Rattus norvegicus: one gene and its partners. The protein of the gene in region 1 binds, or shares a complex with, the protein of each later gene. Links are inferred from orthologs where the notes say so. Each region holds a gene or a part of one and is shown in the gene's direction. Other genes may lie near its edges. The genes, in order: Klhl3, Wnk4 and Wnk3.

Region 1 (4,995 bases):
ACGGATTCTGGGATTCCACTTCCTTATTTGTGATGCTCAGCCCTCCTGTGGTCCCTGTGACTGCTGTCCAGAGGAAATATCTGGAACAGAACCACGAAGCTGATTAGAGGAGGAAGGGAAGTAAGTGGTGGGAGAAAAAGACAGGAGGGGTTTGGTTTGCGAACAAGCGGAGACCCAGGGCTGCTGGGTGTGAGCAGTGACTCTTGTGCTCTTCGCAGCCCGAGGGAGAACGACTCTGGGTCGTGGTCCAGCTGAGAGGACACTGGTGTGTCTGGGGAGACTCACACCTCAGCTGGTTTGAGCCTAGAACGTTACGTCAAGTCCAAGTTATTAGCGCCCGTAGCTTCGATACCTGCGTTCCTTTGCTTGACGACTTGGGCTCTGCGCAGCGCTGAAGAAACTTAGCAGGCCCACGCTGAACGAGTAGCACGGAGCGAGCGTCTTTTCCTACTTACACAGGCGTCATCTGCACCCTCCTAAAGTTCCCACTTACATGAGCACCCAGGAAAGCAGCACCGCTAAGCAGATGATTGGGGAGCACCGAGAAGAAAAGGGGGACCCTTTCAGCTTGTGTAGAGCTCACAATTATTGGAGTTGAGACTCTAGGGAGTGTCTTGCGAATGAAGGACTGAGCATGAGGTCATAGGACACCCAGCGGAAGGCCACTCAGTCAGTGCTGCTCTGGGCCTCCAAAGATGCCCGTCCAAAGATGCGGGGTGTGCTGACGGGTGAGGAGTCCTAGAGCAGGCATGGGCGCTCATGTCTGGCTTTTTCTGTACTGTCAGGGAAGCTTCTGAGTCAGTTTTCACCACTAACTGACCCAATTATCTCCAAGCCCTGGTTCTAGAGGATACACACTTAGCTTCCTGCTTTCCACGAGATTGTTTTTTTAGCCTAAGAAACAAGGCATGCACAAAGCACACTCCTCAGGACATTTAGTTAGGGGGAGATGAACAGTAAGGGTAAGACCCTTTGAAGTTTATGTTGGGGGGGCACCTGTTGTCACGGGTCTGATTTGGGGAGGGCTTTAGAAGACTTACTGCCCTTTCTTAAAGTCTCAAGGATCGGGGTTAGAGGAGCCACTCCAGGTAGGGCCAACATCTAGAGGTTACAGGTTAGCTGGAGAGGGGGGCTCAGCCTGTCTAAGGTTCAGCATGGCAGGCTTTAGAAAGCGATTCTGTTGCGGTGGTCTTTCAGTGTGGCCCAGGGCGACAGCCAGGCAGTGTTCTTGTGGTGATCACTGCCGTGGTCTTTGGCATTTTGTAATACTGGGGGTTTGTTTCCGATGCACCTCCCCGCCCCCTCTGCACAGAACGCATCTGGCTCCGGCCCCCATGTCTAATTCTCCTTACTCATTTCAGTTCTGTGACACCCACCCACCCCAGCCCACTTGTCTTAATGTCACATCTCAGAACTACCGTGGGCTCGGGGAGGGGGAAATCAGGCAGCGCTGGTGTTACTCACGAGTGAATTTCCCCAGGTGGGTAAACTCCATGGCAGGCCACAGAGGGGCCTCCTCATTCCAGCAATCTGGCCAGGCCCACAGACTCACAGCCTAGGAGGAGGAGAGAAGGAGGGGTCAGCTTTTCTCCGGTAGTGAGGATCCGGCTGATCCGTTGTAGTGCAGCAGAGGAGGCCGGAGACTGTGGGGTGGGCTAGTCGCTGAGGCTGGGGATGCCTGAGCAGATGTGGAAGCAGCTGGAAAGGTGGCACAGCCCTTGGGTTGCCGCCGCCGCCGAGGCTTTGGCTGTTCCTAGGAGACAGAGGAGAAGCCAGTCTGCGGGGGAGGGGAAGCGAGTGGGTTGCTGCTTTTAGCAGCTGAAAGGGTTGCAGGGAGCTCTGGGTAAGACATTTTCTAGCACCGTCGCTTCTGCGGTAGAAGCCTGCCGCGAGTAAGTCAGAGGAAGGAGGATTGGGAGGGAAGGAGCTCTCAGTTGCAGCCATGCCGAATCACGGTCGCTGATCAGGGTCCCTCACGGGGCTGCTGGGAGAACCCAGAGAGCAGCGCCAGTTCCCGGGTGCATGCACAGTTTGGTGGCTACTAACCCTGCCGGGCCTCCCACAATGGAGGGCGAAAGGTACGTATGTGTAAGTGTGTTGAGTGCAGTATGCATGTGTAAGCAAACACGAGCTTAAGGTGTAACCACCGACATTTGTTTGCATCAGCTAAGCAGGCTTGCGGATCCTGGCAACTGCAGAATCCCAAAGCAGAGTGGGGACAGACAAGTCTCTTTGGTAAACCTCTTCCAGGGCTCAATGCTCCAGAGACCCGGCTCCTACCAAGGAAAGTCTGGGTTTGCTGGGCAGTGGAGCACACGGAAAGAAGGAACTTCCTGGCCTGTGTTGGGAATAGTCCCGTCTTGTTCCCCAAAGTGTCTGTCTGTGGTGGTGGGGATTTAATGGTATTGCAGGGCTGGCCTCTGAGAGGGAACTTGCCTGGTTCACACCTAAGTGGTTGACTCTTCAAGAACCATGCCGGGTCTGTTACGTGTGTGCTCCTGGACACTGGCTTCTGTGCTGGTGTGGGTAAAGGAAGAACACGGTCAGACGGCATTTGCTCACAACCGGTTTCGTCTGTGTCAAAAAGTTTGAGAGATGCTGCAAGGTCTGTGTCTTACAGGCACCCTTGTTTCTCCCATCACGAAATAGGAACCAACTGAAGGCATTTCAGTCGAGCAGGAGTAGCCGGCCAGGGTTTGTCTCCTGGCAAGCAGGAGCACAGACAGTTTTCATTTATCTGAGGAGCTGATCTTCCCATTGTGAAGGCGCTCAGTGCAGGGCCAAGTTTGGCAGACTACAGAGCAGAAGTCTCTCTGTGCTACCACCTCCTCATCCTCGGGTTGGCGCTGGGGACGGGCTTTACCACGGCTTTACCACGGCTTTACTGTTTTACTGGAGGAGAGAGGATCACAGGGAGAGGCCAGTTCGGCTGTTCCTCTGAGTTGCGAGTTGCTGGTTACATCGGAACAGGCTCCACTAAACCCGTGCCATTGCAGTTGGAGAGTACTTTGACAAATGTGCACAGCTTGTCCCGAGTCGGGGCCCCTGTGAGAACAGGTGTGGCTCATTTCACTCTCCAGTCTGAAAAAGCCTTAGAGACCAGTACTTCGTGATAGTCCCAGTCACAGGAAGAGTCTAGGACGGTGGTTCTCAACCTTCCTAACGATGAGACCGTTTAATACAGTTCCTCATATTGTGGTGACGCCCCCACCCCTCAACCATCGAATTATTTTCATTACGTCATAGCTACAATTTTGCTACTGTTAGGCATCTGTGTTTTCTGATCGTCTTAGGTGACCCCTGTGAGAGGGTCGTTTGACCCCTGCAAAGGGTCGTGACCCATTGTGCTAGGACTTTTTAGACTATAATTCTTGCAGTCTCTTTCTAGGCTCTCTTCCAACAGGAGCCCCCTGAACAACAGGGCATCCTGAGGCCTTGGGGCAGAGGTGGACAGTGTCCTTGCCCTCTCCCAATGGCCTGATAGATGGCAGTGGGAAGGAGTGAGGAAAGGAGTGTAAGGTTCTGGACCGTGTCCGCTCGCGTGACCCTCAGCATATCTAGGCTGAGAGGCTGGCCCGAGGCTGCTGCCATCTCAGCTTTCGGGGGGCAGCGGTCACATCCACAGTCCATCGTTCCTCTTCTGAAGAGCTCCTCACCGGTCTGTGAGGGGAGCTCATGTCTGTGGCTTCTGAGTACACATTTGCTTCTAGTAGAGGTGAGAATTTCCGACATTCACCAGGCCTCCCAGGTCCTTACTTTTTGGTCCCTGTTCTAGGGACAGCTTACAAACCAACCAAACAAGACGCCCCCCATTTGTCTCCTGTCTCTTGTCCCAACGCGCGCCGCTCCACCCACCAAGAGTTACTCTGCCGTCACACTCGCACGCCTTCTCTCCCACCGCAAATCCTCCGATCTTGGAGTTCTTTCCGCTCATTTCTTCCCGTTTTGGTTTTGGGGGAAAAACGCAGCTCTTTAAAAACTCCGCATTGATATTCTTACATTAAAAACTTCTTTTTTGGAGGACTGGGTGGAGATGCTGAGGTAGGGTCTCTCCATGTAGCCCTGGCTGCCCTGGGACTCATTCTGTAGATCAAGTTGGCCTGGAACTCACGGATCTGCCTACCTCTGCCTCCAGAGTGCAGGGATCAAAGGCCCGTGCCACCCCACCTGGCTAAACCTCTTGTCTGTGTTTTAGACCTGAATGCTAGGCCCAGCAGGTCTTTTAGTGTTTCCGTTTTGTGTGACTTACAGGTCCTCAAACTTAGAGATATGTCCTCATAGAAGGATGGTGGCATATACTTTTCAGTATTCCTCACTGACTACTCCATGGCTCTGCCAACAGCAGGTGCTGGGTAGTAATTGTTCAGTTAACTAGTAACGTAAGCCAGTGTTACTTCTTTGAGAGTTCCTTACAGTGTATTTTGGTCATATTCATTTTCCCTTCCTCAGGTACTCCCAGACCCATTCCTACCTTCTTAACCCATCCAGCTCTCTCTCTCTCTCTCTCTCTCTCTCTCTCTCTCTCTCTCTCTCTCTCTTCCCCCAGTTTGTGTTACCCAGTTACTATTGGTGTGAGGCCTGCCCTGGAGTGTGGACAGTATACCAGCTATCAAACCCCCTGTCTCCTGCCACCTATCAGATGCTAGTATCTCTCCAGTTGGGGGTGGACTTTGTGGTTCCTCTGGCTCCCCCGTTGGGATTTTTGTCTGTCTTGGGCTCACATCGATCTCGTGCATGCCGTCACGATTGCCATGAGCTCATGTGTGCAGCTGCCTTCTCATCTGGGAAAATGGTTTCCTTGAACCCTTCCACCAGCTCTGCTCTTCCACCCCTCACACTCTCTCCATGGAGATGCCTGAGCTCTGGGAGGAGAGGCTGTGACACAGACACCCCGTTCTCTCTTGTTCTCTGGATCTCAGCCTTAGCTGGTGACTTTCGTGAGCAGCTCTAACTAAAGAGGTGAGAGATGTAGACCTTGGGCAGCCTTGGCTCCCT
Region 2 (4,318 bases), on another chromosome or scaffold:
CTGACCCCTCCCAACTCCCAGAAGCCCTCCTAAAGAGCCTTTCCCAATCTGCCCTCCCTTCAAGTTATCCTATCTTCCTGCAACCCAGGGGAAGCCTGACCCTTTGACTTGCTCTTTTAAACCCCTTCAGGATTTCCCACTCCCCTGGGGGTAAAGTGCATTCACTCCCTCAGACACTCTCTTCTTGAGCTGAAGTTACAAACAACCCCAATTCTGTGATCCCTCCCATTCTGAACTGTCACTCCTGTGGCTCTCCAGCCTGGGAAATCTCCATCCCTCCCCATTTTCACCCTTGAATTTATATTTTTTCAAGACAAAAGTTATTCCTTCCCAACCCTTGGACTGTTAGTCATCCCTTCCGGTGCTCCGGGGCACGGGCCCTATCTTCGAAGTTACCATCAGAACTTTTTTTGTAACCTGTTTACCTCACTCATTGACTCAGTTTCTTTCCCACCCAGACCAGTCTAAATTAAAATAATGCTGGCTGGGGACAGCGGAGGTGTTGGCAAGGGTGGGATAAGGAATTTTCCAGCCTGGAATAGATATCCCCGCCCTGACCACGGTTATACACCCTCTCCCAGGTACCTGAGGAGATTCCGAGAAATGAAGCCCCGAGTCCTTCAGCGCTGGAGTCGCCAGATCCTACGGGGACTTCATTTCTTACATTCCCGAGTGCCCCCCATCCTGCACCGAGATCTCAAATGTGACAATGTCTTCATTACCGGCCCTTCAGGCTCTGTCAAAATCGGAGATCTCGGACTGGCCACGCTCAAGCGCGCCTCCTTTGCCAAGAGCGTCATTGGTGTGTCTCTCCAGCAGGACCCTGGCCATTGTTAGCTCCTTTGCATCAGAAAAGAGCACGGGACCCCTCACTCCACTCCATCAGGGCTTTGGAGAGATAGCGTACTAGGGCGACCCATTTTTCCTGCCCCCAGCACAGGCTTTGGGCAAGAGTTGGTCACCAGCACTCCAGAACTCCTGGGGTTGCTCTTGGGCTATTAAAGCTACCCCCAACCCCCCCCCCCCCTGTGCGATATACCTAAGTGGAGGGAGGAGACCAGGAGAAAGAAGCCTGATCCTTTCTGTGGGTCCAATAGGGACCCCGGAATTCATGGCCCCTGAGATGTATGAGGAAAAGTACGACGAGGCTGTGGATGTGTACGCCTTTGGCATGTGCATGCTGGAGATGGCTACGTCTGAGTATCCCTACTCTGAGTGTCAGAACGCAGCACAAATCTACCGAAAGGTCACTTCGGTGAGAAGGGTGGGGTTTGGGGAAGAAGGGATCCCCAGTGGCCCTCCCATTCTTCTACCCTCTAACTAGCCTGCTAATACATAACATTAGCATACATTATATTAACATATGTGAAGGGTATATATTATACATGTATCAAATTATATATGTGTGTGTATATGTAACACACACACACACACACACACACACACAAACATTTATCCTTAATAAAGCCAGGCCAGACAAAAAGATGCCCTGGAGAAACAGACATATATTGTATGTACATAAACCCTTCACACAAGCTGGTAAGAAGATGTGTATGCTTACAGACAACTTCACATCCAGTCTCAGTAGATCTTTCTAGTTGCCCTACTAGAAGAGCCAGGCAAACTTTCTACCCTCAGGCAAGGTCACACCAACATAGGTGGGGGAATGGGATCTGAAATCAAGTCTTTCCGTACCAGTATCTTCCCCCAACCTGAGCCTGGGCGCCTGCCTGCACTGCAGACTTGCTGAGCGAGGCGGGCGTGGGCAACGGGGGCGGGGGGGGGCTCATGAGATCCCTTCTCTCAGGGCACAAAGCCCAACAGCTTCTACAAAGTGAAGATGCCAGAGGTGAAGGAGATCATTGAAGGCTGCATCCGCACGGATAAGAATGAGAGGTGGGGTCCGGGACAGAGACGGGATGAAGATGACCGGGCAGTGGCAGCGGGCTCCGCTCACTGCCCCCACGGTCCCCAGGTTCACTATCCAGGATCTTCTGACCCACGCGTTCTTCCGCGAGGAACGTGGTGTGCATGTGGAGCTGGCAGAGGAAGATGATGGAGAGAAGCCGGGTCTCAAACTCTGGCTGCGCATGGAGGACGCACGACGCGGGGGGCGCCCAAGGGACAACCAGGCCATCGAGTTCCTGTTCCAGCTCGGTCGGGATGCAGCGGAAGAGGTGGCTCAGGAGATGGTGAGGAGAGTATAGATAATCCTACTTGGGTGGAGTGTGTAAAGGGTTCAGCCAGCCTGCCATCAGTCAACAGGAGGGGTCAAGGTGCAGCGCTAGAGTAGCGAGCGGAGGCTCCTACTCAGAGCTGCAGCTCCAACAGGGGTCTCTCCGCCTCTTCTGCCCTAATCCACCAGCGCACGCCAGGGTTCTCCCCCAGAACAAATCCGGGAAACCCTAACGTCACTTCTTTGCACGCAGATTCATTTTTTCATTTATCACGGGAATGCCCTTCTTGGCAACTTATCTATTTATTTTTCCCTCTCCCCCTTCTTTGTCTCTATGCTTAGCACCATCCGTTCCAGGACGCTCACTCCTCCTGTGTAAACGCTGAATGCTTCTTTTCAAATCTGGGGGCGGGCGGGGGGGGGGGGCTCGAAACCACCTCAAACCTTGGGCTTTGTTTTATACCTGAATACATTTCCCATCTCACTCCTCTGCTAGACTAGAAACTATCTGTGGCCAGACAGTATTTTATTGATTTTTTTTTCCCCTCGGTCCTTTACTGTTTGGCAATTAGCAGATGCTTCTTAACATTATATGTGGCTTAAAAAAGAAAGCATTTTTCACGTGACCTTCTTTGGAGGGCTATGGAATGCATGCTTAGAGAGAGTGACTGTCTTGTCTAGAGTCCCAAGAAAACAAATGACAAAGAGGGATGTAATCTCAAGCTGTTCAGATTTGAAATCAGTTGGCCCTACCACATTTCTTTTACTCACCCGGCAAAGCCCACGGCTAAATTGATTTGAATAGGAGAGGGGGAGGTGAGGAGCAGAGATCCGTGGAAGAGAAAGTACTGTGGAGATAGAAGATGCCAGAGCACAACCTTGAAAGCTTGTGAGGAGAACCTGAATGGGCAGAGGGTGAGAATATGGGATTCTCAATAGAGAAATGGCAGTTTCAAGGTCAAGGGTCATCTGTGATGAGTCAAGAAGCTGAGACCATGCTGGCTTAGTGGGGCTCTTTTTTTAAAAAAAAGATTTACTTATTTATTTTATGTATATAAGTACACCATAGCTGTCTTCAGACACACTAGAAGAGGGCATTGGATCCCATTACAGATGGTTGTGAGCCACCATGTGGTTGCTGGGAATTGAACTCAGGACCTCTGGAAGAACAGTCAGTGTTCCTTTTTTTTTTTTTTTTTTCAGGTTCATAATTTATTGTACAAATTGAGTATTACATGATGAGTTCACATCAGCTTCTTCAGGCATGGGACTTAACAGATGAGGCCAGACATTTCAAAATCCATTTATGTTGCTTTCACAGCTGGGGTTTTTTTAGGCCTTAACTTAAAGTATAGGACCAACAAAGCAATGCCTCCATATGTGGCCAGGACACAATTCATTCTACCTGTGAGGGTATAAGAGTTGAAATATTTTTTAATACCAGTGAACTGGAATTGGCCATCACTTTCTGGACCAGCCATGACTTCAATCTTCTTCGTCCGAATCACAAACTCTGCCCAGTCAGTGTTTTTTTTTTTTTTTTTTTTTTGGTTCTTTTTTTCGGAGCTGGGGACCGAATCCAGGGCCTTGCGCTTCCTAGGCAAGCGCTCTACCACTGAGCTAAATCCCCAACCCCCCAGTCAGTGTTCTTAATACCACTGAGCCATCTCTCCAGCCCTGGGGCACTTTTTTTTTTTTTTTTTTAAATCCCAGGAAGCAGAGGTAAATGAATCACTTATGAATCCAGCCAGTGAGCTCCAGGCCATCCAGGCATACACAGTGAGACCCTTTGGCACAAAAGCAATCTCCAGAGCACTGCCCAGCTCAACTCAAGATTCAGTCCTTTAAGAGTGACATCTTGTTTATGTTGTGTGTGACTGTGCATGTATATGTGGGGTCACATGTGCCACAGCATGCGTGTAGAAGTCAGAGGACAACTAGTGGGAGTCAGTTCTCTCCTGCCATCATGTGGGTCCTGGGGGTTAAACTCAAGCCATTAGGCTTGATGGTAGGCACCTTTAAACACAGAGATATTTTGCTGCCTTCAAGATCAAGTCTTGATCTATTATCTGTGAGGGAGCAAGGGATTCCTGTGTGTGTGATGTACCTTTTATGCATGTGGGTATGCACATGAATGCATGT
Region 3 (4,318 bases), on another chromosome or scaffold:
AAGAGTAGACTTATAACCTCTCTGAATCAGTCTTTAAAAAGCATACTATTGTTTTTAAAACAATAATACTCATTACACAACTTAACTAATGAAAAAAAGTACAAATTTTAAGATACCACTTTCAAATCCTACCACCCCAAAATGGTAACTGTTAGATCATTGTCTATGAGTATACATAGGTGCATAGAAATAACTTTATTCAACTGTGATCACACTATATTGCCATTTTGAATCAGAAGCATTAAATTTAATTTCACCTTTGAAGATAGAAAATACTGAAAAGAGATAGCTCAACTTTAAATAATATATTTTGTAACTGAACATATATTGCCATTCATTTTCATGTAAAACTTAAAAAAACACTTTAATCCTAACTTACATTGAGAGTTTCTAACAAAATTATAATTGAAAGTTTAGTTTTAGCTTGAACTAAGGATTTGAGGCTAAAATAATTATTTACATCCATTGGAATCATAATTCCTATGTGCATTACAAATATAATCTCTATACACATGTTTAATTGCAATATTAAACAGGAATATATCTTTTCAGTACTGCCTAAAACACAATTGTCTTGTGATTTTGAGTTTATTTTAGAAGAACGGAGGGCTGAAAAGGCAGCCTAATCAGTACTTTCCATGCCAAGTGTGAGGACTTGAGTTCAGGCCTTAGAACCCATATGAAAAAGCTGGGTGTGTGTGTGTGTGTTACATGCATAACTACCAGCACGGGCAGGAAGAGACAAGTGAATTCTTGAAGATTGCTAACTAACCAGCCTTGCCTATTTAGTGAGCTTCAGGCCAGTGACAGACTCTGCCTCACAAAACAACTTTGATAGCACCTGAGGAATGACCCCCAAAGTAGACTGCTTGCATCCATATACACATGAGTTCACAAGAATAAAAGTAAATGTGTAAGAATATGACAGAAGGGGGTTGGGGATTTAGCTCAGTGGTAGAGCGCTTGCCTAGGAAGCGCAAGGCCCTGGGTTCGGTCCCCAGCTCCGAAAAAAAGAACCAAAAAAAAAAAAAAGAATATGACAGAAGAGCTAGAGAGATTGATGATTCAGGTATTAAAAGCATTGGCTGCTCTTTCCGAAGGCTTGGATTTGATTCCCTGCACAGCCCACATGGTGACTTAATTCTGTCTCCAGTCCCAGATGATTCAGTGCCCTCTTCTGTTCTCCATGGGTTATACATACATACACACATACACACAGGCAAAATGTCCATACAAGCAAAATAAAATAAAAAGAATATAACAGAAGTGTCAAGTTTTAAGATAGTGTAAAGGGAGCAGAGGAGATGTTTATCGAGCATCTACTCTATGTTAGGTCTCCTTGTTACACTAATTATGTTCCTCTGTCTGGAGAATTGTGCAAGATGGTCTATTTCCATCTATGCATACAGTCTAAATGAACATTCATGGCTGGCAGAATGAAGGAAAAGCAAAATAATAGTGTTAGCATGAGTAAATTAGAGACTAAAGTGTGAACAGGGAGTTAATATGGGCCTTGGAGTTATCAGGAGAGGGCTGAAATCCATGTCTGATTTGCTTGGTGACATTGGGTTACTTACTAATTTTAGTTTCTGTTTTCTTATCTGAATAATGGCTATACTGGAAGGCAAGGCAGTTAGGAAGATGAGCTGAAGTAAAGAGTGTTACTCATGCAGACCTCACAGAAAGGTGCTCTACTCAATTTAACAGAAGAAGGAGTGAGGCAAAAAGAATAGGATTGGAGACTGAGAGAAGAATGTGCCAAATGAACTGATATTTTGTTTTTATGTTTGTTTTCATTAGAGCACTCCATCTACTGTGGGATACACATCAACCTGGATTTCTTCTCTCTCCCAAATTCGCGGAGCTGCCCCGTCTTCCTTGCCACATGGACTCCCACTCCCTTCATTTCCTGGGCCATTAGCGTCCTATGGAATGCCTCATGCTTGTCAGTACAATCCCGTAGGCGCCGCAAGCTATCCAGTACAGTGGGTTGGGATTTCGGGAGCAGCACAGCAATCCGTAGTGCTTCCTACCCAATCTGGGGGACTCTTCCAGCCTGGGATGAATCTGCAGTCATTTCCAGCTCCACCAGTGCAGAACCCACCTTCAATCCCTCCTGGTCCCAAATGAGTCCAAGTCAGTGCTGAAGGAAGGGGAGAGAACTTTCAGAACACCTGTGATGCTATACTTTCTTCTTGAGTTCTGCCATATTTTTTCTCATTCATCTCTACTTTAAACTGTGTTTTTTGTTGTTCTAATGTGATATTTGATACAGCTCATCATTCGGTAGTAATGTGCAATTTGCACAAAGAATACTGCACACAGAAATGTTTTTTCACTTCAAATCCTATCCTCTTTGATACTTGATTTTTAAAAAATCCTGTTCCAAATGCTCTACTAGCTCAGCTTAAGTGTTACCATTTCCAAGACACCTCTCCTGTGTGCGGACATGCACTCACCTGCCCGCCCTCTTTTTTATCTGCTACCAGCAGTTGTATGATACTTCTCTTTAACATGTGTTAAAAAAAAAAGTATGTGGATTGGTTCTCCCCAAAATGTGGATGACGTAAGACCCTCCAATAGCCAGTCTTGTGGGATTCGTCATGTCTGTCTTAGGTTTACTTTTCACAGAAGGCAGTAACTGGCTGCAGGATCTGTTTTGGTGTATAAATGTAGTAGACTTTTGTCAAGCAGTACAAAATCTGAGTGTTTTTAAAATGTGATTTTCTCCCCGTCATCACAGCAGGAGGAGTGAGGGCTTGTTTGGAGTGAGGCGGAGGGAAAGGCAAAAGCAGAACTGTAACAGTTCCTTGAACCTACAGCTACCAGAGCTGCTTCTGGGTTTCAGTCATAACCCAAAGCAGCCACCTTTTCTCATGTGCACACCGCTTTGGTTTGGAGCATCCGCGAGGCACTGGTTTGGCTTGCATTCTTTCGCTAGGCATTGCAGCTGATGTGAATCTCATTTGGGGGGGTAATCCTTGTAATCCTAACCAAGGAGATTCAGGTTAACACTTCTGTTAATCCATTCTTCTAAAGCGAAATGTACTTGACACACTAGGGTTTGTAGCTTTTGAGACTTTTGCATAAAACACTGGCTTTACAGGGTTCTAAGAGATGTAGGATACACTGTCCTGCAGTGAACTAGTACACCCTAGGATGATATTATTTAAATTGCCTTTAACCTTTTTTGATGACAATGTTTGGGTTGTTATCATTTCTTACTAGTGTCTATAGACTTAGAACATTTTAGATCTTAGATGCGTTTGTCAGCCTCTTGAGAATTTGAGAGACTTCACTGTCAAGTTGCACTTTACTGGGTTTTATCCAGTTTTAGGAGGAGGGAGGCAGTGTCAAAATGTACACCTGTGGTTTTCAGGAAGCTTAACTGTAGTAAATCTTACGTGCTAGTCACAGGGTCACCTAATTTTCAGTCTGTGAAACCCAAATAGAATTTTTACTTGGTATATATCTATATATCAGCTCCTCTGTATACATGTTCAAAGACTTATCATTCACTGAAGCTTTGAAAGTCCTTTCAAATACATGTTTTCCTATTTAGGAATTCTCTTGGTAACCATTCCAACTTGTCTTCGTTTCTCTTAACAGATTTTCTTCCATATTCCTCTAAAACCTTACCCCCATGGGCTTGCCGGGAAGTGAGGAAACTTAATGGGTGTGCTTTATTTTTTCATACAATTTCATACTTTGTGACATTCAGTGCCCCTTTTAAAAGTTGTCTTATGTTGCTTACCTAAAGACCACACCCATCATCACATTTTTGTCTCTGTTCCTGGGGACATTCTGTGGATTGCTATTGATTTAAGAGCCACGGTTTCTTTTCCTAAGACATCATGTTTTGGCTGAGTCCAGATCATATGCACGGATTCCTCAAATTCCTTCCATGGTATTGCTTTGCATTTGAAGTGATTTTTCGGCTACTCATGTAGTTCAAGCTAGTCAGTTGCTTGCATTGTAGTGCTTTCCACATGTACAAAACGATGCTCCTAAACCTCCTGGTTCTTTAAAACTGTCTGTTTCATTACCAGTCGGTTTTGTGTAACTATATTGGGCTAGATAACCTATAAGGTGGAATACTACAGGTTTAAAGACTGGCTCTCCTCGAGTTGCAATCCTTTTAAACAGTGTGCCCATGGTGAAAAATAATTCTACAGATGACATGTACAACTTCATTTACAATCTCATGGCTGCTCTACATAGTATGTCCTGTGTTTTTTACACATCTCAGTTTTACATATAACTCATTGTCCTTGTTTGCCTGCAGATGTTTGCAGTGCCTTGTAATATTTAGAATCTT

What was found.
Region 2: the proteins of Klhl3 (region 1) and Wnk4 are in contact, whole or in part, in a crystal structure (PDB 4CH9), measured with the Homo sapiens proteins. The link is inferred for Rattus norvegicus from reciprocal best matches to the Homo sapiens genes KLHL3 and WNK4. Residues at the interface, in NP_059111.2 of Homo sapiens: Arg339, Phe355, Gly357, Ser358, Leu359, Arg360, Thr386, Phe402, Gly404, Gly407, Ser432, Tyr449, Gly451, Ser481, His498, Arg528, Tyr577; in NP_115763.2 of Homo sapiens: Glu557, Pro558, Glu559, Glu560, Pro561, Glu562, Ala563, Asp564, Gln565.
Region 3: the proteins of Klhl3 (region 1) and Wnk3 are in contact, whole or in part, in a crystal structure (PDB 5NKP), measured with the Homo sapiens proteins. The link is inferred for Rattus norvegicus from reciprocal best matches to the Homo sapiens genes KLHL3 and WNK3. Residues at the interface, in NP_059111.2 of Homo sapiens: Lys312, Arg339, Phe355, Gly357, Arg360, Thr386, Phe402, Gly404, Ser405, Gly407, Ser432, Ser433, Tyr449, Gly451, Arg454, Cys456, Ser481, His498, Arg528, Tyr577; in NP_065973.2 of Homo sapiens: Glu537, Cys538, Glu539, Glu540, Thr541, Glu542, Val543, Asp544, Gln545, His546.

The regions. Positions count from the first base shown.
Region 1 is NC_086035.1:6,526,542-6,531,536, forward strand, and holds the start of Klhl3 (kelch-like protein 3), read left to right. Parts: upstream 1-1,945; 5' UTR 1,946-2,022; coding exon of another isoform or gene 2,023-2,064; coding exon 2,065-2,078; intron 2,079-4,995. UniProt on the Homo sapiens protein: Substrate-specific adapter of a BCR (BTB-CUL3-RBX1) E3 ubiquitin ligase complex that acts as a regulator of ion transport in the distal nephron.
Region 2 is NC_086028.1:86,705,496-86,709,813, forward strand, and holds part of Wnk4 (serine/threonine-protein kinase WNK4), read left to right. Parts: intron 1-581; coding exon 582-802; intron 803-1,097; coding exon 1,098-1,255; intron 1,256-1,807; coding exon 1,808-1,896; intron 1,897-1,975; coding exon 1,976-2,192; intron 2,193-4,318. UniProt on the Homo sapiens protein: Serine/threonine-protein kinase component of the WNK4-SPAK/OSR1 kinase cascade, which acts as a key regulator of ion transport in the distal nephron and blood pressure.
Region 3 is NC_086039.1:23,735,075-23,739,392, forward strand, and holds part of Wnk3 (serine/threonine-protein kinase WNK3), read left to right. Parts: intron 1-1,800; coding exon 1,801-2,130; 3' UTR 2,131-4,318.